Macaca mulatta: one gene and its partner. The protein of the gene in region 1 purifies or fractionates together with the protein of each later gene. This does not show direct contact. Links are inferred from orthologs where the notes say so. Each region holds a gene or a part of one and is shown on either strand. Other genes may lie near its edges.

Evidence for each region.
Region 2: the proteins of UQCRB (region 1) and COX6B1 purify together in Homo sapiens (affinity purification with mass spectrometry; 3 studies listed by BioGRID and IntAct, counting the BioPlex papers as one, with this or other methods). This does not show direct contact. The link is inferred for Macaca mulatta from reciprocal best matches to the Homo sapiens genes UQCRB and COX6B1.

What each region holds. Positions count from the first base shown.
Region 1 is NC_133413.1:106,632,961-106,643,387, reverse strand, and holds the start of UQCRB (cytochrome b-c1 complex subunit 7), read left to right. Parts: upstream 1-4,689; 5' UTR 4,690-4,696; coding exon 4,697-4,715; intron 4,716-7,389; coding exon 7,390-7,461; intron 7,462-8,626; coding exon 8,627-8,793; intron 8,794-9,447; coding exon 9,448-9,525; 3' UTR 9,526-10,427. Other genes in the region: MTERF3 (transcription termination factor 3, mitochondrial), read left to right, coding at 537-731. UniProt on the Homo sapiens protein: Component of the ubiquinol-cytochrome c oxidoreductase, a multisubunit transmembrane complex that is part of the mitochondrial electron transport chain which drives oxidative phosphorylation.
Region 2 is NC_133424.1:46,915,392-46,925,248, forward strand, and holds the end of COX6B1 (cytochrome c oxidase subunit 6B1), read left to right. Parts: intron 1-2,244; coding exon 2,245-2,345; exon of another isoform or gene 2,346-2,965; intron 2,966-3,340; exon of another isoform or gene 3,341-3,882; intron 3,883-6,358; coding exon 6,359-6,412; 3' UTR 6,413-6,546; downstream 6,547-9,857. UniProt on the Homo sapiens protein: Component of the cytochrome c oxidase, the last enzyme in the mitochondrial electron transport chain which drives oxidative phosphorylation.

The DNA of each region.
Region 1 (10,427 bases):
GTGGCAGGATCTCGGCTCACTGCAACCTCTGTCTCCTGGGTTCAACCAATTCTCCTGCCTCAACCTCCCGAGTAGCTGGGATTATAGGCATGTGCCACCACGCCCAGCTAATTTTTGTATTTTTAGTAGAGATAGGGTTTTGCCATGTTGGCCAGGCTTGTCTTGAACTCCTGACCTCAGATGATCTGCCTGCCTCAGCCTCCCAAAGTGCTAGGACTACAGGCGTGAGCCACCGCGCCAGGCCGAAGATTTGCTTTTTTAACACATTCTCCTCTGTCTCTGGAGCACTCAATCTTCTTTGCCCACATTATAGCCCTTAATTATTTTATTATTGTTTTGTATGTTGATTTTGAATCCCTTTTTCTAGTTTTTTAACAGAAAATATAGGATTTAAATCCTCTGGCATTTATCCTACTTACTGAACACGTGGTTAGTACTTTGTATTGGTTAACCTATTAAAATTTTTGCCAAGTAAACTTTTTAATGTTTCATCCTCCAATGTGCAATGTTTTTTAAAAACTTTTTTTCTTTTCTAGGTATTTAATACAAGGCTGTTTAAAATCAAAGAAAGACACTTGTTTCTTACCTATTTAGGAAGAGCCCAGTATGATCCAGCAAAACCTAACTACATCTCTTTGGACAAACTCGTATCTATTCCTGATGAAATATTTTGTGAAGAGATTGCCAAAGCATCAGTACAAGACTTTGATAAATTCTTAAAAACGCTTTAGATTTTTATGTATGTGAAAATGCAATATTGTAAAGTGAATATATGTATGAATAAATGAATATATTTTTAAATGCCTCGGGTCTCAACTGATATTGGAAACCATTTGATACTGTAAATTTGGGTACATATACTGTGGTAGATTTTTCATCAAGTTCCTAGTGACTCAATTCTTGTTTACCTTTTCCTTCTTAGAAAATACAGCGAGTTCAGAGAAAGGGAGAGAGTTGGTTTACTTTAAGTTGGTGCTTTGTCATTCTAGTGAAGATGAAAACGGAGGATTTTTAAAGTGGTTTCATTATAAAATGGCTTTATTTCATTTGAACTGTTACAAGTTTCCAGAGCACATACTACATTAGTCATCTAATATCTACAGCTCAGATAATGCCACAAAGCACACTTCATTTTGGATTATCTACATTGTTAACTTCTTGAACACAGATATTCACAGTTGGCTAAGAATCAGGAAAAGGAAAGTGGAGTTTAAAGATTAGGGGCAATGAGATATAGTGAAAGGCTTAACTAGCCTTTGACTTATTACCAGTAAACAAAGATTTGTTTTCTGTTTATGATGTGTTATCCTGGGCAAGTGATTTCATCTCTGAGTCTTTGCTTTTTTATTTGTAAAACAAAGTATCGCAACTTCAGTTGTCTGCGTTATGATCACTAGATTGGGTAGACTGTTAACACTGGTAACCCCCATGAACCACACCTGGTATTTGCACTGTTGTGTAGTTAGTCCTCTCCCACACTGACTCTGGGCCAATGTGATTTGGCCCAGGGGACATTTGTCAAGCACAGGCTTGATAAGAATTTGCACATCAGGGCTTGCCCTCTTGGAACATTTGCTCTTGGCACCCAAAGCTACGGTATAGAGAGGTCTGGTTACTCTGCTGGAGAAACTAGGTGGAGAGAAAGATGTCTGGCCAAACCCCAGCTTTTTCAGCCATGCCAACTGAGTACCAGACATGCATGAAGAAGTTATCTGGGATGTCCCAGCCTTAGCAGACACTACACTAAGCAGAACAACCCAGCTGAATTCAGAATTGGGAGAAAGTGTTTTAAGTCACTAACTTTCGGGGTAGTTTGTTGTGCTGAGGGTTTTGTGGTGTGCTGGATGCCCTTCAAAAAACCTCATGAAAAACTAAATTTGTAATTGGTCAGGGCCAGGTATAGTGGCTTTCCTGTTACATATTTTATTCATGCAACCGACATTTGAGTTCCTAGAATACAGTAGTGAGTGTGACATAGATAGGTGCTTTCATGGAGTTCGCCAATGGATGAGATCAACAAACAGGAAACAATAAAAAATAAGCTGGGGACACCATGGAACCATCCTGTCCTCTCTTTGTATGGCTCACAACCGCATTTTGCCTTTATGAATAACCCACTGAACAACCTTAGAATAGGCAAGTTGTGCTGATACAATGAACAATCCTAAAACCTCAAATGATTGAAAAACCACAAAAGGTTTTTATCTTATACATGTCTCTTAGGACCACAAAGGCTCTGCTCCACATCATCTTTAGTGATACAGGTTGATGTATCCTGTCTCCATCATTTCTGGAGTGTTACCAGTCTATGGAAAAGGAAAGGAATGTGAAGAATTGCTCTTAAAGAGTTATCACATTTTTCTTGGCTAAAGTATCACATGGCCATGCCTAACTTTGAGGGCAGAGAAAGGCAATCCCTAATCCTGTGCTGGGAGGAAAGAAAACCAAAATTAGTTTTTGAATCAACATTAATGACTACCAGCAAACATTCAGTCTCTAGCTTAATTCCTTAGGAGCTGGATTTTGTGACAATTTTGGGTTTCTGATTTTTTGATATGTCTTTTCTTGTCACCTTCACCTGTAACCAGCAAGTAAAACGTAAAGGGTAGAAGGGAGGAGAGTTTATTGAGTACCTACCCTCTGCAGGGCAATGTGCCAATGTACATATGTATTGCATTTCTTCACATCTTTCAGACTTCACTTTGGCTAGTGTAAGATAGAAGAGATCATTCATCAGCTTTAGTGCTGCATACAGGACTGACTAATAGAAGAATTGTAGCAGCATGGAGATAAAAGAAAAAGGAAAATCAATAGAATCTTAGAACTGGAATGTGACTAAGATCATTAAATCTAACCTTTTGAACTTACGACGAGACAAGGTTCTATTCTATATTGTCCCAGCTCTGAGCTTAAAACTGAGGGGAAAAAAGATATCACCGAGTAATGGTAGAAGTTCACCAGTAACTATCAGTCATGCCAGTTCCCCCCAATTGTTTTCTGTCTCTAGATGTTTATGCCTAAGACTTCACATGTTGGGGCTGAGACCTTAATAGTTAGCAAATCTATATACTTTTGTCTTTAAATTATGTGCAAATTCTGCAATACATCTTAGATTTAATCTTTAAAAACCTTTTCTTCTGGGCGTGATGGCTCACACCTGTAATCCAGTATTTTGGGAGGCCGACGTGGGTGCATCACTTGAGGTCAAGAGTTTGATACCAGCCTGGCCAACACGGTGAAACCCTGTCTCTACTAAAAATACAAAAATTAGCGAGCATGGTGGCATGTACACCTGTAGTCTCAGCTACTCAGGAGGCTGAGGCACGAATCGTTTGAACCCTGGAGGCAGAAGTTGCAGTGAGCCAAGATTGTGCCATTCAGCCTGGGTGATAGAGGCTGAACAACAAAAAAAGAGGTGACCAAAAAAAAAAAAAAAAAAAAAAACCAACCAACCAACCAAACGAAAAACCCAAAACCTTTCTGACCTAACCTTCCACTAAAATAGCTAGATGTAGATCTTCAGCTGGAGAAACCCAAGGCCTGAAAGGCTTGGTGTCTTTCCTGGATTAGTAGTGTAGCATATGGCCCTAGAATTAAGGAGCCCTAAGTTTGCGTCTGGATTTTCAGATTCTGGAAGAAGAACCTGGACTCTTCTAGTCATGTCCTCTTGGACAAGTTATTCAACCTTTCTGAGCTTCAGCTTTCTCCTATCTACAATGAGATAATGACAGTACTTTTAGAATTAAATGACAGTGTAGGGGAGTGAGAGATCACGCCTTTGCTCTTATGTGGGCTCTTTGGTTGGATCTAGGAACCAAATTGACACAAGGCAGATTAACAAGAGAAAAGCATACTAATTTTACTAGTTTTACATGTTTTACATGTGCATGGGGATCCTCACAAGAGAGTGAAGTGGCCAATGTAAGATGCCTTTATACTTTTTACACGAACTACAAATCAGAAGAAAGGGGATCTGGCTAGGGGCAGTGAATTTCTTGCGGAGTCATTAGGAGAAACGTGGGTGTGGTGGGGTGTAAACTTAGTGGAAGATAAGGGTTATTTCGGAAAGTATATTCAGGTCCAAAGCAGCTCCCAGTTTCCAGTCTCTGGTGATGGGTGCTATTTTCTCCCTCTGGTAAGGGACGGGTACTCCGGAGGAATCCTGGAGGAAACTTTACGGCTTGCTGCATGCAGGAAGAGATGGGTCATCAAACCCTTTCTGAAACTACAATTTCTCCAACATTTTCAACTCCAAATAATCAGTGTACCAATTCCATATATTTTTGGGATGGCGCATCCATCAGTCCTTCAATAGAAAATAAAACGATGCCCTTAAAACATTTAGCTTCCTGCCTGGCACAAAGAGCTGAATTCATACTGCCCACGCTCTCATAGCTATTAACAGCAAGTAACAGAACCCAGCTTTAAGCCTCGGTCTCCTAATTCCTGACCTGTGTTCTTCCCATCACATCACAACCAATACTTCTTGGAATGTAGCACGCAAAACGCCCCGCCTACTCCATTGGCCTCACCCTGGCCGAGAAGTGCACACGCAAGAGCTCAACGACAGCCGTCAGAACTGCGCCTGCGCAAGCGGCGTTTCTCGGTTCGCGATGTGGCGTAACGCGCCTGCGGACTGGGCCCAGCGTGTCCTCTATGACTTACCCAGAAGGCAACGTTTCATTTTCTGGTCAAAATGGCTGGCAAGCAGGCGGGTAAGTGACTGGGGAGTCTTCTTGGCGGGCATCGTCGCGCTCCACCGTTTATTTTCGCTGCAGCTCACTCCGTTTTCTCTCTTCTTTGTAAGTCACCAAGTTTGTCGCGGAAGGGAAAGTGGCGGCTTCAGTCCAGCCAAAAGGACGTGCTTCCCCACTCGTTTGTTGTTCCCAGGCCGGGCTTGCCTATATAGGGTTGGGGTGTTAACCCGCTGTTTGTGAAGGTGCCCGCGGTGGCTCTAACAGCCCTGGAGTTCCAGCTGCCTGTGCTCGGAAGTCCTTCCCCTCGGCCTTAGAAAAGTTAAAGGTCACAAGAAGATAACTAGTGGATGACTTTCAACCAGAATGAGCTCAGTGCTTTCTTCTATGACCCAGGTGCTCTATCGTGTGCATTGGCCCTATAAATTCTCCTGCCAGTGCCACGAGGGAGATATTAATTTCCCGTTTACGCTGATAAGACAACTGAGGCAAAGTGACCCAAGGAAGTAGAATTGGAAATTTCATTGCACCCCTCGCGCTTCTCAAACTGTGAATCAGAGACAGTCTAGCAAGGGATACGAGCGACGCTTCACATTAACCTTGGATTATCTAGAACGTCAGCTTGATCAGTAGGTTTGGAGAAATTTGAATTTATTGTAGGTTCAAACAAATTTATTGTGGAATAGAATGCAGATATTACTGGAATATTTAAAACAACTTGAACATTAAGTTGGGTTTCCTTGTTTTTTTGTTTTGTTTTTTTTTTTGCTAATCTCTGCCCTCTGGCGGTACAAGTTGGAGTATCTTTTTTTTTTTTTTTTTTTTTTTTCTTTTGAGAAGGAGTCTTGCTTTGTCGCCCAGGCTGGAGTGCAGTGGCACAATCTCGTCTCACTGCAATGCAACCAAGTTGGAGTAGCTTTTAAAAAATATTGATCCTTTTCTCCCTGACCCCAGCAATTGTGAAGCTGTTAGGAAACATCAGGTTGCCAGAAACATCCGCTAACCTAATTGACATTGAGCTTTTTGGGGGTGGGGGAGACTTTTTAAATAATTATTTTATTAATTTAGCAGATATTGAAGGAGTCTTACTAAATTCAAGACACTGATTCTGTGCGTGTTTGGGATCTACATAGACCAGATCTCAACTCCCATTAGCTAACTGACCTTGGGTGGGATCACTTCTGTAAGTCTGCTTCCCTTGCTGTAGTAAGAGGCATGTAAATAAATCAGCTAATGTTGGTAAAGCAAATAGGAAAGTGTTTGGTGCACAATAAGTGTTTAGTGAATATTATTCTAGTCACTGATAGGTGGTTAAAAATAATCTGTCTTCCACAAGTATGTTTGTAGATTGTTGACTGATACTTGTTTTTCTGGCAGCAGTTTTATACATGACTTCATTTCCAAGGAGATGTGCTGAAGCCACGTAATCTGTAGTGCACTGAGTTTGCAGGCAAGGAGGGCTGAGTGAAAGGAGAGTTTGCTTTCCTTCCTTGGTAAGGGGCTAACGCTAGACAAAATTTTAAAAGAAAATGTAAACTTGTTCTACCTCCCCTTTTGTAAAACGTCTCTCCTAAAATGTCAGGTACGGTCCTGCTGTACTTGGACCCTGCTGGGTTACTTCATCAGACTCAGCCCTGTTCCCCAAAGAATTTTATTTATTTATTTTTTTTTTTTGTTTGTTTGTTTGTTTTTGAGACGGAGTCTGGCTCTGTCCCCCAGGCTGGAGTGCAGTGGCCGGATCTCAGCTCACTGCAAGCCCCGCCTCCCGGGTTCACGCCATTCTCCTGCCTCAGCCTCCCGAGTAGCTGGGACTACAGGCGCCCGCCACCTCGCCCGGCTAATTTTTTTTGTATTTTAGTAGAGACAGGGTTTCACTGTGTTAGCCAGGATGGTCTCGATCTCCTGAACTCGTGATCCGCCCGTCTCGGCCTCCCAAAGTGCTGGGATTACAGGCTTGAGCCACCGCGCCCGGCAAGAATTTTAAAATTACCCATTTCTCATCCGTTTTCAATACCTATTCCCTTGGGGGGAACTTAGTTGCTTAGGAGGAGGTAAATGGACTTCTTTTACTAATCCATATTAATGTTTAAATGACTAATGGTATCAAAATCCTCCCCAAAATACATATATTTTTAAAGAATGTAGCCAAATGAAATAACTGTAATGTCGAGTAAAATTTTTACAGGATGAGGGTCATTTAGACCTGCCAGCCTATGCTGAAATCTCACTCTCTTTTCATACAACTCCAGCTCCTTTGAAATGAAAAGTTTACAATTATTTCCTGTGATCTATTTATGAAACTACAAATGATAGAAATTTCCAAGTCCTTTTCCTATCTCTCACCCCTTCATTTCTGAAGGTAACAGGGCAGGCATAAGGGCACACGATGTACCTATGGATCTTTTGTACATTCAATGTTTGAGTTTACCCTCTTCTTCCATGACTTGCCACCATTTTCCTGCAGCCACTTTTGCTCATAAATAAAATAAGCAATTTTTATCAACAGTTTATAAACTTTTTTCTTTTAAATCTAATTCTTTTTTGATTAAATTCTTGCTGTATATAGTATATACTTTTAAAAGGAAATTTCTTTCTATGTTTGCATTCATCAGCAAGATAACTGAGTACTGGTTGCTTGCCCATCAGTGTGTTCATATAGTATAATTGTAGCAACTAACAGTGTGACAATGATCAGTTTCAGCATCAGGCAAGTGGCTGGATGGTATTCGAAAATGGTATTACAATGCTGCAGGATTCAATAAACTGGGTAAGCATCTGTGCTTTTTAATTTTTCTTTTTTTTCTGAGAGTATTGCTTTTACAAGTGTTACTGTGGTTCCAAAAAATATTTCAGTTCTTGTATACATCAGAAGATGTTAAAATTAAATCACATTATGTTAAATCCAGTTCCTTTTTAAAATTTTTTTGAGAGGAGAGGGATGAAAGCCTCTAAAATGTTTGACTTGGTAATGATTTAAGTAGTAAGACATTTTCCTTCTACACCCCTTCTCCCAACTCTACCACTTAAAATTTTATTTATTTATTTGGGACAGAGTCTTGCTCTGTCACCAGGCTGGAGTGCAGTGGCGCAATCTCAGTTCACTGCAACCTCCGCCTCCCGGGCTCAAGTGATTCTCCTGCCTCAGCCTCCTGAGTAGGTGGGATTACAGGCGTGTGCCACCATGCCTGGCTAATTTTTTTTGTATGTAGTAGAGACAGGGTTTCACCATGTTAGGCTGGTGGCGAGCTCCTGACCTCAGGTGATCCACCTGCCTCTGCCTTCCAAAGTGCTGGGATTACAGGTATGCGCCAGTGCGCCCAGCATTCCACTTAAAATTTTAAGTTTTATAAACACTGAAAGTAGAGATTTTTCAAATATTAAAATTTTATCATATCCATGCGATCATATGTTTCCTAAGCTTTTTTAGAACTTTGTAATTTGCCATGAACTTCATCTTTTGCTATTGAAGCTTGAAGAAAGTGTAAGCAAAAGTCACTGGTTCCTTAGTATACTATTATTTTAAGATTCATTAATACCTTGATCTCAGATTTAAACTATGAGAAAGTAGAGATGTGGTTTATTAATGTGTGTTTAAAAACAAAGTAAACATTTAAAATATTTTGTAAATGGTTTAGATAAAATATGAATTTTGTGGCATTGGATTTTAAGAGGCTCATATATTGTTTCCATAGTCTAGTTCAAGAAATAACCCATTATGTCAAGTAATAACTCATTACTTTTAATGGCAAAACCGCAATTACTTTTGCACCAACCTAATGTATGAAGTGCATTGAATTTCCATTGAACCTAGTGATTTGAATTCGATAGTTCACCAAAAGTTGTAAGTTATAAGTCATAAAGATATTTTACTAATTTTAAAAAAACGTGATCTTTGAGATGCATGTGCTATCTAACTTTGTCGTCTGTCATAGGGTTATTGCGAGATGATACAATGTACGAGGATGAAGACGTAAAAGAAGCCATAAGAAGGCTTCCTGAGAACCTTTATAATGGCAGGGTGTTTCGAATTAAGAGGGCACTGGACCTGAACCTGAAGCATCAGATCTTGCCTAAAGAGCAGTGGACCAAATATGAAGAGGTAGCACAGCTTTATCTACCTGACAATGTTGCTCATTAAGGATTGAGTTTTAGAAACGAGAAACATGTTCATTTGCGTGGTGTTAGAGTTTTCTGAGTCATGTCAAATAAATATTCTGTCAATAGTTTGGTGAGGTTAATAAAGCAAATGTTATTTCCGTTTTAGAAGAAAACCACATTGACTCTTATATGTGAAATGATTCTTCTGAAATCACTAAGCAAGTCTCTAATATAGAGAGCCAGGACTAAAATCCAGGTCTGTTGCCACCCAGGTCATTGTTGTTCTACCTCTGCACTCTGCTTCCTACTTAGATGAAAAGATCAGCCCATTGAGTGGCCCTCCAGATCCCAAGAAGAGCTTCTGTGAAGCAAACTCTCACCCCTTGAACTGCATTGAAACTAGGCGAAGGCCTGTAGACACTCATTTCTTTTTCTTCCCAAAAAGACTTCCCTCTCATAACCTATCAAAGCAACTTACCACACTATCACCACAGATTTGACTTTTTAAAAAGCAGATAGTTCTTAGGTTGAGAATATGTTTTCTAAAATTGGAAATTAAAAAGTAATTTTCTTTTTCTTGTTATCGAAGACCTGTTGAGTGTTTGGGATATATCAGTACGCAATGGTAACATATAATATTTCATTCATTCTTTAGGAAAATTTCTACCTTGAACCGTATCTGAAAGAGGTTATTCGGGAAAGAAAAGAAAGAGAAGAATGGGCAAAGAAGTAATCATGTAGTTGAAGTCTGTGAATGCAGCTGTTATGAAGATGGTTATACTTGAAACAAACAATTTTAAGAATTGTTTGGTCTGCAGATGTTTTACTTTAAATAAATGTCTATTGTAATGGCTGGAGTTTTTGAATTCCAAACCTTACACTGAATAACTACTGAATCCATTTACTGTTAAATTTTTTTACAAACTTTCAAGATATTTTTAGTCGTGTTTAACTGCTGCCTGGAGCTCAGAGGCCACTTTATCAGTTTTCCTCACTGGTTGGATAGCCTATCAGTTTATGGAAGGATATAACTTCCATAAGTTACATCCTTGTGGAAGCTACTGAATAAAAGAAGGGGGAGTACACCCCCTAGTTTGCCAGGATTGAGAAATAGCCTCTTCACTGCTATCCAAATAGATTTGATTTTGCATCCTATCATTTAAAAATAAATTATGTATTCACCCCAACATAGGCATGCTTAAGTAATACATATACTCCTGTGCTAACATGTATACTAGAAAACAAAAAGTAGACATTAGAAAAATGGAAGTATAAATACAAATCATACTTGTTCCCATATCCCAGTGACTTTTCCACTTTTGAAATAATTGTTATGAAGTTTAAGGCTTGGATACTAATCAGTTAAAAGTTTTAAGATCATAGGGTAATTTTTTAAAATATAAATTAGAATCATTGGCTTGGCATGGTGAGTCATGCCTGTAATCCCAGCACTTTGGAAGACTGAGGTGGGCAGGTCACCTGAAGGAAGGAATTCGAGACCAGCCTGGCCAACACGCTGAAACCCTGTCTCTACTAAAAATAGAAAAAATTAGCTAGGCGTGGTGGTAGGCACCTATAATCGCAGCTGCTCGGGAGGCTGAGGCAGAATTGCTTGACCCCAGGAGGCGGAGATTG
Region 2 (9,857 bases), on another chromosome or scaffold:
GGTCTCGATCTCCTGACCTCGTGATCCGCCCGTCTCGGCCTCCCAAAGTGCTGGGATTACAGGCTTGAGCCACCGCGCCCGGCCTGTTTGTTTGTTTTTGAGACTGAGTTTTTTGCTCTTGTTGCCCAGGCTGGAGTGCAATGTCACAATCTTGGCTCACTGCAACCTCCCCCGCCTCCTGGGTTCAAGCGATTCTCTTGTCTCAGCCTCATGAGTAGCTGGGATTACAGGCACCCACCACCATGCCCAGCTAATTTTTTGTGTTTTTTGTTTTTAGTAAAGACGAGGTTTCACCATGTTGATCAGGCTGGTCTTGAACTCCTGACCTCAGGTGATCCACCCGCCTCGGCCTCCCAAAGTGTTGGAATTACTGGCGTGAGCCACTGCACAAGGCCTCACATCTTTGTTTTACCACCATGTTTTTTATTTTATTTTATTGTATATATGTTATGTATATTATGTTATTTTGTTATGTTATTGATGGAGTTTCTTTCTCGTTGCCCAGGCTGGAGTGCAGTGGCACGATCTCAACTCTCTGCAACCTCTGCCTCCCGGGTTCAAGTGATTCTCCTGCCTCAACCTCCTGAGTAGCTGGGATTACAGGCGCCCGCCACCACACCCAGCTAATTTTTTTTTTGAGACAGAGTCTCGCTCTGTCGCCCAGGCTGGAGTGCAGTGGCGTGATCTCGGCTCACTGCAAGCTCTGCCTCCCAGGTTCATGCCATTCTCCTGCCTCAACCTCCCTAGTAGCTGGGACTACAGGCACCCGCCACCACGTCCGGCTAATTTTTTTGTATTTTTAGTAGAGATGGGGTTTCACCATGTTAGCCAGTATGATCTTGATCTCCTGACCCCGTGGTCCGCCTGCCTCGGACTCCCAAAGTGCTGGGATTACAGGTGTGAGCCACTGCACGTGGCTTTTTTTTTTTTTTTTTTTTTTTGAGATGGAGTCTGGCTTTGTCACCCAGGGTGGAGTACAGTGGTGCCATCTTAGCTCACTGCAGCCTTCACCTCTCAGCTTCAAGCAATTCTCTGCCTCAGCCTCCTGAGTAACTGGGATTACAGGCACCTGCCACCATGCCTGGCTAATTTTTTTTATTTTTTTATTTTTAGTAGAGACAGGGTTTTACCATCTTGGCCAGGCTGGTCTTAAACTCCTGACTTCGTGATCCACCCACCTCAGCCTCCCAAAGTGCTGAGATTACAGGTGTGAGCCACCGTGCCTGGCCAATTTTTTTTTTTTTTTTTTTTTGAGACAGAGTCTTGCTCCGTTGCCCAGGTTGGAGTGCAGTTGTGCAATCTCAGCTCACTGCAACCTCCGCCTCCTGGGTTTAAGCAATTCTCCTGCCTCAGCCTCCTGAGTAGCTGGGACTACAGGCACGTGCCACCACACCCGGCTAATTTTTGTGTTTTTAGTAGAGACAGGGTTTCACCATGTTGGCCAGCCTGGTCTCAATCTCCTGACCTCGTGATCCACCTGCCTCAGCCTCCCAAAGTGCTGAGATTACAGGCATGAGCCACCATGCCTGGCCAATTGTTTGTATTTTTAATAGAGACAGGGCTTCACCATGTTGTCCAGGCTGGTCTCGAACTCCTAACCTCAAGTGATCCACCTGCCTCGGCTTCCCAAAGTGCTGGGATTACAGGTGTGAGCCACCATGTGCAGCTACCACCGTGTTTAGATTCACCTCTTTGTGAACTTTATAAATACTGTGTGTTTTCTTTTGTGTTTGGATTTTTTCATTCGAATACCTTCTCAGATCTATACATGCTGTGGCATATAACTTGCTCATTTTCATTGCTGTTCAGTTTTCTACAATTTATTCTACGCCTGGACACTTGTGTGATTTTCATTTTGGAGTTCTTTCAAATGATGTGGCTGTAAACATCTTTATAAATGTAATTTTGCTGGATGCGGTGACTCCCACCTGTAATCCTAGCACTTTGGGAGGCTGAGGCAGGCAGATCAAGACCAGCCTGGCCAACATGGCGAAACCCTGTCTCTACTAAAAATACAAAAAATTAGCCGGGCATGGTGGCAGGTGCCTGTAATCCCAGCTACTCGAGAGGCTGAGGCAGGAGAATCACTTGAACCCAGGAGGAGGTAGGGGTTCCAGTGAGCCAAGGTCACACCATCGCACTCCAGCCTGAGTGACAGAGCGAGACCCTACCTCAAAAAAAAAAAAAAAAAAAAAATGTGTTCCAGCTCTTGATCTGGGCTGACTTGAACCCCTTTCTTCACAGACTTCCACCGCTGCCAGAAGGCAATGACCACTAAAGGAGGCAATGTCTCTGTGTGCGAATGGTACCAGCGTGTGTACCAGTCCCTCTGCCCCACATCCTGGGTATGTGCCTCCTACCAGGGCCCTTGGGATGCTGGGGTGGGGTCTTTGCAGAGGGGAGCGTGGTGGCTTGGTGGGAGCTCATCTGTGAGGGGCAGAGGGAGGACAGGGCTCCACACTGTCCCAGGACTCAATGCCTTTCCTCCCTCCTAGAACTGCCTCCCTTTCTCCTTCTGTTGATGCCTCTCAACCAGTCAGGGCTCTCAGCTGAGGTGACCAGGGCATCTTGCTAGATGTAGCTCACTCATGCACTCTCCAAATACACACTCAGCACTGGGTTCCCATCCCTGTATAGCTCACAATTCTGTGCAGTCCTGTCCTTTTTTATTATGAGCATTTTCTTTTTCTTTCTTTTTTTTTTTTTTTTAAAGACAGTCTTGCTCTGTTACCAGGCTGGAGTGCAGTGGCGCGATCTTGGCTCACTGCAACCTCCGCCTCCCAGGTTCAAGCGATTCCCCTGCCTCAGCCTCCCAAGTAGCTGGGACTACAGGTGTGCACCACCACGCCCAGCTAGTTTTTTGTATTTTAATAGAGATGGGGTTTCACCATGTCAGCCAGAATGGTCTCGATCTCCTGACTTCATGATCCACCCGCCTCGGCCTCCCACAGTGCCAGGATTATAGGTGTGAGCCACCACGCCCCGCCCTATTATGAACATTTTCAAAGTAGAGAGAATAATTCATTGACCCCAAATACATCCATCACCCAAAGTGAATAGTTATCAAGATTTATCCACAGTTTCTTCATCTACCCTTTTTCTTTTTCTTCTTTCCTTTGCTGAAGTATTCTAAAGCAAGTCCCAGACACATCATTTCACCCCTGCCTACTTCAGTGTAGACTTCTAAATAATGACACAGTAAGAGAGTCCCTTCAGCCCTGATCTGAGCAAATCTGTTGTCAATATTTAATAGCTCTTTGCTATGCCCCTGCCCTTTGTTTAAAAAGCAAAAACAAAAACAAGTTTTTAAAGACAGGGTCTCACGATGTTGCCTCGGCAGGACTCGAACTCCTGGGCTCAAGTGTTCCTCCTGCCTCAGCCTCCTGAGTAGCTGGGACTATAGGCATGTGCCACTGTGCCTGCCTCTCTCTGTGTCTCTCTCTCTCCCCCCCCCACTTCCTCTCTCTCCCTCTCTCCCTCTGCCTCCCTCCTTCTCTCCCTCTGTCCTTCTCTCCCTCTCTCCCTGTCTCCCTCTCCCTCTCCCACTCTTTCTCTCTTTCTTTCTTTTCTTTTCTTTCTTGAGTCTCACGCTGTTGCCCAGTCTGGAGTGCAGTAGCATGATCTCGGCTCACTGTAACCTCTGCCTCCTGGGTTCAAGTAATTCTCCTGCCTCAGCCTCCTGAATAGCTGGGACTACAGGCATGAGCCACCACACCTGGCCCAATTTTTGTATTTTTTTGTAGAAATGGGGTTTCGCCATGTTGCCCAGACTGGTCTCGAACTCCTGAGCTCAAAGCAGTCTGCCTGCCTCAGCCTCCCAAAGTGCTGGGATTATAGGCGTGAGCTACCACATCCAGCTGAATCTTTCAAAATAAAAAAAAATTACCCTTCTTTAACTTGGCAATTCCACATCTAGGCATGCTACAAAAATCTTCATGTACAAAGATGCCCATTGCAGAGCTGTTTGTAATGGGGAATATTTGGAAATAACCCAACTTAAAACATTTATCTTGATAGTCTTTATGGAGACTGTGGTGATCTACGTGCTGGCACACGGAAAGAATGCTAAGACACAGGAAAAGCAAGTTGCAGAACAATCTATATAGTAGGAGTCAATTTGCAAGGATGGAGTTTTTATGGTGTGGTGTGTGTATGTAAATAAAGTAGGCATACACTGATGGCACTTATTATGGGCCAGCTATGTTGTTAGCACTTTGTTTTTTTTTGTTTTTTTTGTTTTTTTGAGATGGAGTCTTGCTGCTCTGTCTCCCAGGCTGGAGTGCAGTGGTGCAATCTCAGCTCACTGCAACCTCCGCCTCCCGGGTTCAGCAATTATCCTGCCTCAGCCTCCCGAGTATCTGGGATTACAGGCGCCTGCCACCACGCCCAGCTGATTTTTGTATTTTTAGTGGAGACAGAGTTTCACCATGTTGGCCAGGCTGGTCTCAAACTCCTGACCTCAGGTGATCCACCTGCTTCGGCCTTCCAAAGTGCTGGGATTACAGGCGTGAGCCACTGTGCCCGGCCATGTTAGCACTTTACATCACATGAGGTCAACATGCTAAAACAACCGTATGAGGTAGGTACTATTGTTAGTATCCTCATTTTACGGAATTGGAAACTGAGGCCCAGAAAGGTTGAGTAACTTGCCCAAGGTCACACAGCTCGGAAGTGATGGAGCAGGGATTCAGATTCAGTCTCTCCATTGTCCATGCTTTCATCCACTGTTCCTTTCACCAGTGGTCCTCACCCTTTTTGGCACCAGGGACGGGTTTCATGGAAGACAGTTTTTCCACAGACAGGGTTGGGGATGGTGTAAGGATGAGTCCAGCATATTACATGTATTGTCCACTTTATTCCTACTATTATTACAATATATAATAAAATAATTATACAACTCACCATACTGTAGAATCAGTGGGAGCCCTGAGCTTGTTTTCCTCCAACGAGATGGTCCCATCTAGGGGTGATGGGAGACAGTAACAGATCATCAGGCATTAGATTCTCATAAGGAGCGCACCGCCTAGATCCCTGGCATGCGCAGTTCACAATAGGGTTCGCACTCCTGTGAGAATCTAATGCCGCCGCTGATCTGACAGGAGGTGGAACTCGGGCAGTAATTTGAGCCTTAGGGAGTGCTTGTAAATATAGTTGAAGCTTCTCTCGCTCACCTGCCGCTCACTTCCAGTTGTGCGGCCCAGTTCCTAATAGGCCACAGACCAGTACCTGGTTGGGGCTCAGGGACCCCTGCCTTATAGCATAAAATGTGAGCACATATGTATATAAAAACGTTTATGCTTGTAACTGCCTGTGAGGCCCACAGAGTAGAGTGTTACTTTCAGGGAGTGTTAATTTGACATAGGCCTTATATGGGCCTTTTCATCTTTTTTTTATTTTTATTTTTATTTTTGTTTTTAGAGAGACAATCTTGCTCTGTCACTCAGGCTGGAGGGCAGTGTGCAATGGTAGCATCATAGCTCACTGCAGCCTCGAACTCCTGGGTTCAGGCAGTTCTCCCACCTCAGCCTCCCTAGTCACTGGGACTACAGGTGCATGCCACCATGCCTGGCTAAGTTTTGTATCTTTTGTAGAGACAGGGTTTTGCCACGTTCACCAGGCTGGTCTCAAACTCCTGGGCTCAAGCGATCCTTCCACTTCCACCTCCCAAAGTGCTGGGATTATAGGCATGAGCCACCATGCCCCGCTTGTTTTTTGTTTTTTGTAGAGATGGGGGTCTTGCTGTGTTGTCCAGGTTGGTCTCAAACTCCTGAGCTCAAGCAGTCCTCCTACATTGGCCCCGCAAAGTGCTGGGATGACAGGCGTGAGTCCTGAGTCACCACACCCAGCCTCTATCATCATTTATACTAAGCATTGCCTGTGGTCAGTGGTGGGATTGCACTGTGTATTCCGTTTGGCACCTTTTTTGCACTTGACTGTATATCTTGAAGATCATGCCATTCATGCCAGAACATAAATCAGCCTCGTTTTGTTTTTTCACAGCTGCCTGCTATTCCATCTCCCCTATTTGGACAAACAGCATAGTGTTGACATGAGGTTTTCAAAGCAGGGCCCACCCTTGGAGCTCTGTACAGTGACAGATCTCCCCATCGACAGCTCTGCAGTGGGCCTGGGGTTTTCCTGCTGCCTGTTACTCTCCTCCCAGCACGTCAGCTTGTTCAGAACAGTGATTTCTGTCTTTTGGGGTCACTGCTGATTCCCCGGCCCCTGGAATAGAGGTTGGCACACAGCAGGTACCTGTGGATATTGGTTGAACAAACAGGTGGGCAAAGTGAGGAAGATAAGAAGTCCCCCCATGCGGTTTCCCTACCGCGGTGGGAATAACACTGTCTTTCCACAGGTCACAGACTGGGACGAGCAACGGGCTGAAGGCACGTTTCCCGGGAAGATCTGAACTGGCTGTACCTCCCTGTCTTCTGTCCTCTGTCCTTCTCCCAGGATGGTGAAGGGGGACCTAGTACCTAGTGATCCCCACCCCGGGATCCTAAATCGTGACTTACCTGCTAATAAAAACTCATTGGAAAAGTGAGACCATGCGTGTGAATGGGCTAGGCAGTGGCAAGAAGCTGGGCTGGAATCAGTGCCCTGACCAGGGAGGGGCTTCAGTGAGTATTTTTTCTGTTTTGTGTTTATTTTTTTAATTTAATTGTTTTATTTTGTTTTTGTTTTTTTATGATAGAATCTCATTCTGTCACACAGGCTGGAGTGCAATGGCATGACCTCTGCTCACTGCAACCTCCACCTCCGGTGCTCAAGCGACTCTCCTGCCTCAGCCTCCCAACTAGCTGGGTCTACAGGCACACTCCACCACGCCTGGCTAATTTTTGTATTTTTAGTAGAGATGGGGTTTCACCATGTTGGCCAGGCTGGTCTCAAACTCCTGACTTCAGGTGATCCACCTGCCTCAGCCTCCCAAAGTGCTGGGATTACAGGCATGAGCCACCGCGCCCAGCATTTTTTAACTTAATTTTATTGAACCTTGACTACCCTCTCTGTGCCAGTCAATGAGTCAAATAGTTGATTATACAGAATAACCTAAGTACCTATGTGTGCAACCACCCTACATAATTTTAAAGCCAATCCTGGAGATTATATTTTATCCAGAAATAAGAAACTATATGTATCTCTTGGAGATACCATTTTTTTTTTTTTTTTTTTGAGACTGAGTCGCAATCTGTTGCCCAGGCTAGAGTGCAGTGGTGTCATCTCAGCTCTCTGCAACCTCTGCCTTCTGGGTTCAAACTATTCTCCTGCCTCGAGATACCTATTTTTTTAAACATAATTATTTACACCTAAGAAATTAGTTCTTAATGGCCAGGTGCGGTGGCTCACGCCTATACTCCCAGCACTTTGGGAGGCCGAGGCGGGCGGATCACCTGAGGTCTGGAGTTCAAGACCATCCTGGGCAACACGGTGAAACCCCATCTCTACTAAAAATACAAAATTAGCTGGACGTGGTGGCGGGCGCCTATAATCCTAGCTACTCAGGAGGCTGAAGCAGGAGAAACGCTTGAACCTGGGAGGCAGAGGTTGCAGAGGGCGGAATCGGGATTCGAACCTAGGTTTCTCATTCTGCAGCCTGAAGAAATACATGTCTGCTTGGTCCATGTGTGTGTTGGGGGGCAACAGGGACTTTTCTTCAATCAAGCCCAGTGTGCCCCTCTTACTTTCTAGCACGTTCTTCTTCCCGCTCTTTGTACTCATCTCAGACTCCCCTCACACATCTATCCTGGGTGCCATCCTTTCCCTCAGCCCACTGCCCATGTAATCAGCCTCCTAAGCACCCCTTCCACCTGTCCCCTCATCTCCCCACTGCTCTGTCTTGGTGCAGCCCTGGCCTCGGCAGGGGTCCCTGCCTGGGCCTCCCCACGGGCTCCCGGCTTCACAGAGGAGCAGCCACCTGCCCAAGGTCACACAGCAGAAGAGGCACTTTTGGGATTCAGGACCCATCTGTGGGTCTGAAGTGGATTTTTTGTTTGTTTTTGGAGACAGGGCCTGGCTCTGTCACTCAAGCTGGAGTGCAATGGCATGATCTTGGCTCACTACAACCTCTGTCCCCCAGGTTCAAGCCATCCTCACACCTCAGCCTCCCAAGTAGCTGGGACCACAGGCATGAGTCTGGCTGATTATTTTTGTATTTTTTTTTTTTTGAAACGGGTTTTCACCGTGTTATCCAGTCTGGTCTCAAACTACTGAGCTCAAGCGATCCACTTACCTCAGTTTCCCAAAGTGCTGGGATTACAGGCCTGAGCTACCACGCCCTCCCCTGATTTGGATCTTTTTTTTTTTTTTTTTGAGATGGAGTCTCTGTCGCCCAGGCTGGAGTGCAGTGACGCGATCTCGGCTCACTTTAAGCTCCGCCTCCCGGGTTCACGTCATTCTCCTGCCTCAGCCTCCCGAGTAGCTGGGACTACAGGCGCCCGCCACCACGCCTGGCTAATTTTTTTTGTATTTTTAGTAGAGACGGGGTTTCACCGTGTTAGCCAGGATGGTCTCCATCTCCTGACCTCGTGATCCGCCCGTCTCGGCCTCCCAAAGTGCTGGGATTACAGGCGTGAGCCACTGCGTCCGGCCTTGGATCTTGCTCCTACTTCCAGGAAGGCCCATGTCCTAGCAAGAGAGATGCCAGGTGGTGCGCGCACCCCTCCACCCCCAACTCCACCACCAATGGAGCCTGGGACCCAGAGGCCATGGGTCCTACACAATCTGGAATTTCAAGTCTATAAATCATGGGGGTGGCAGGGAGCCCATAGAAGCTGTTCACCCATCCTGGTCTGCCGGCTCGGCCTCTTGTCCACCCCCTGCCGTGCCCCAAAACACACATACACACCCTCCCTCCTTCCTGGGAGACCGGCCCAAGGAGGGGCCTGGGCATATATAGGAGCCACAGTGGGTGGAGATGGCCAGAGAGGCTGCAGACAGGGAAGGTGAGGAGGGGACTCTGGAAGTCTGGGTGTGGCATAGGGGGTCTGAGGCTCAGGAAGAGGCAGTGCCAAGTTCGGGCCAGTGACTGCCCCACCGGAGCCTGGGTGTCCTCTTCTGCAAAATGCCTCCCCGCCAGGGCTGTGGGCACATCGGTACCAGCCTGGGCCCTGCAGAGAGCTGGAGCAACCCCTCGCAGCTGGGGTGTGGCTCAGAGATGGGGGGTCCGGCTGGCCCTTTACACTCCTGGCCTCATCCTTGCTCATGTGTCCCAGGATGATGGCGTCTACAGCAGCAGCAGAGGCTGAGAAGGGATCTCCAGTTGTGGTGGGCCTGCTAGTTGTGGGCAACATCATTATTCTGGTGAGACTCGCCCCAGTGCTGGGAGCCGAGTGGTTGTGTGGTGGGGAGAGGGCAGTCCTGAGCTCGGGGTGGGGGATGAGGGTCCAGAATTGTCTCTTGGGCAGACTCAGTGATCAGCACAGCCTGGGTTTAAATCCCAGCTCTGGGCCGGGCGCGGTGGCTCAAGCCTGTAATCCCAGCACTTTGGGAGGCCGAGACGGGCGGATCACGAGGTCAGGAGATCGAGACCATCTTGGCTAACCCGGTGAAACCCCGTCTCTACTAAAAAATAAAAAAACTAGCCGGGCGAGGCGGCGGGCGCCTGTAGTCCCAGCTACTCGGGAGGCTGAGGCAGGAGAATGGCGTGAACCCGGGAGGCGGAGCTTGCAGTGAGCTGAGATACGGCCACTGCACTCCAGCCTGGGCTACAGAGCGAGACTCTGTCTCAAAAAAAATAAATAAATAAAATAAAATAAAATAAAATAAAATAAATCCCAGCTCTGCCTCTCCCCAGCTCTGTGACCTTAGCAAGCGACTGTCCCTCTCTGTGCCTTCTTTCCTCATCTATAGATTGT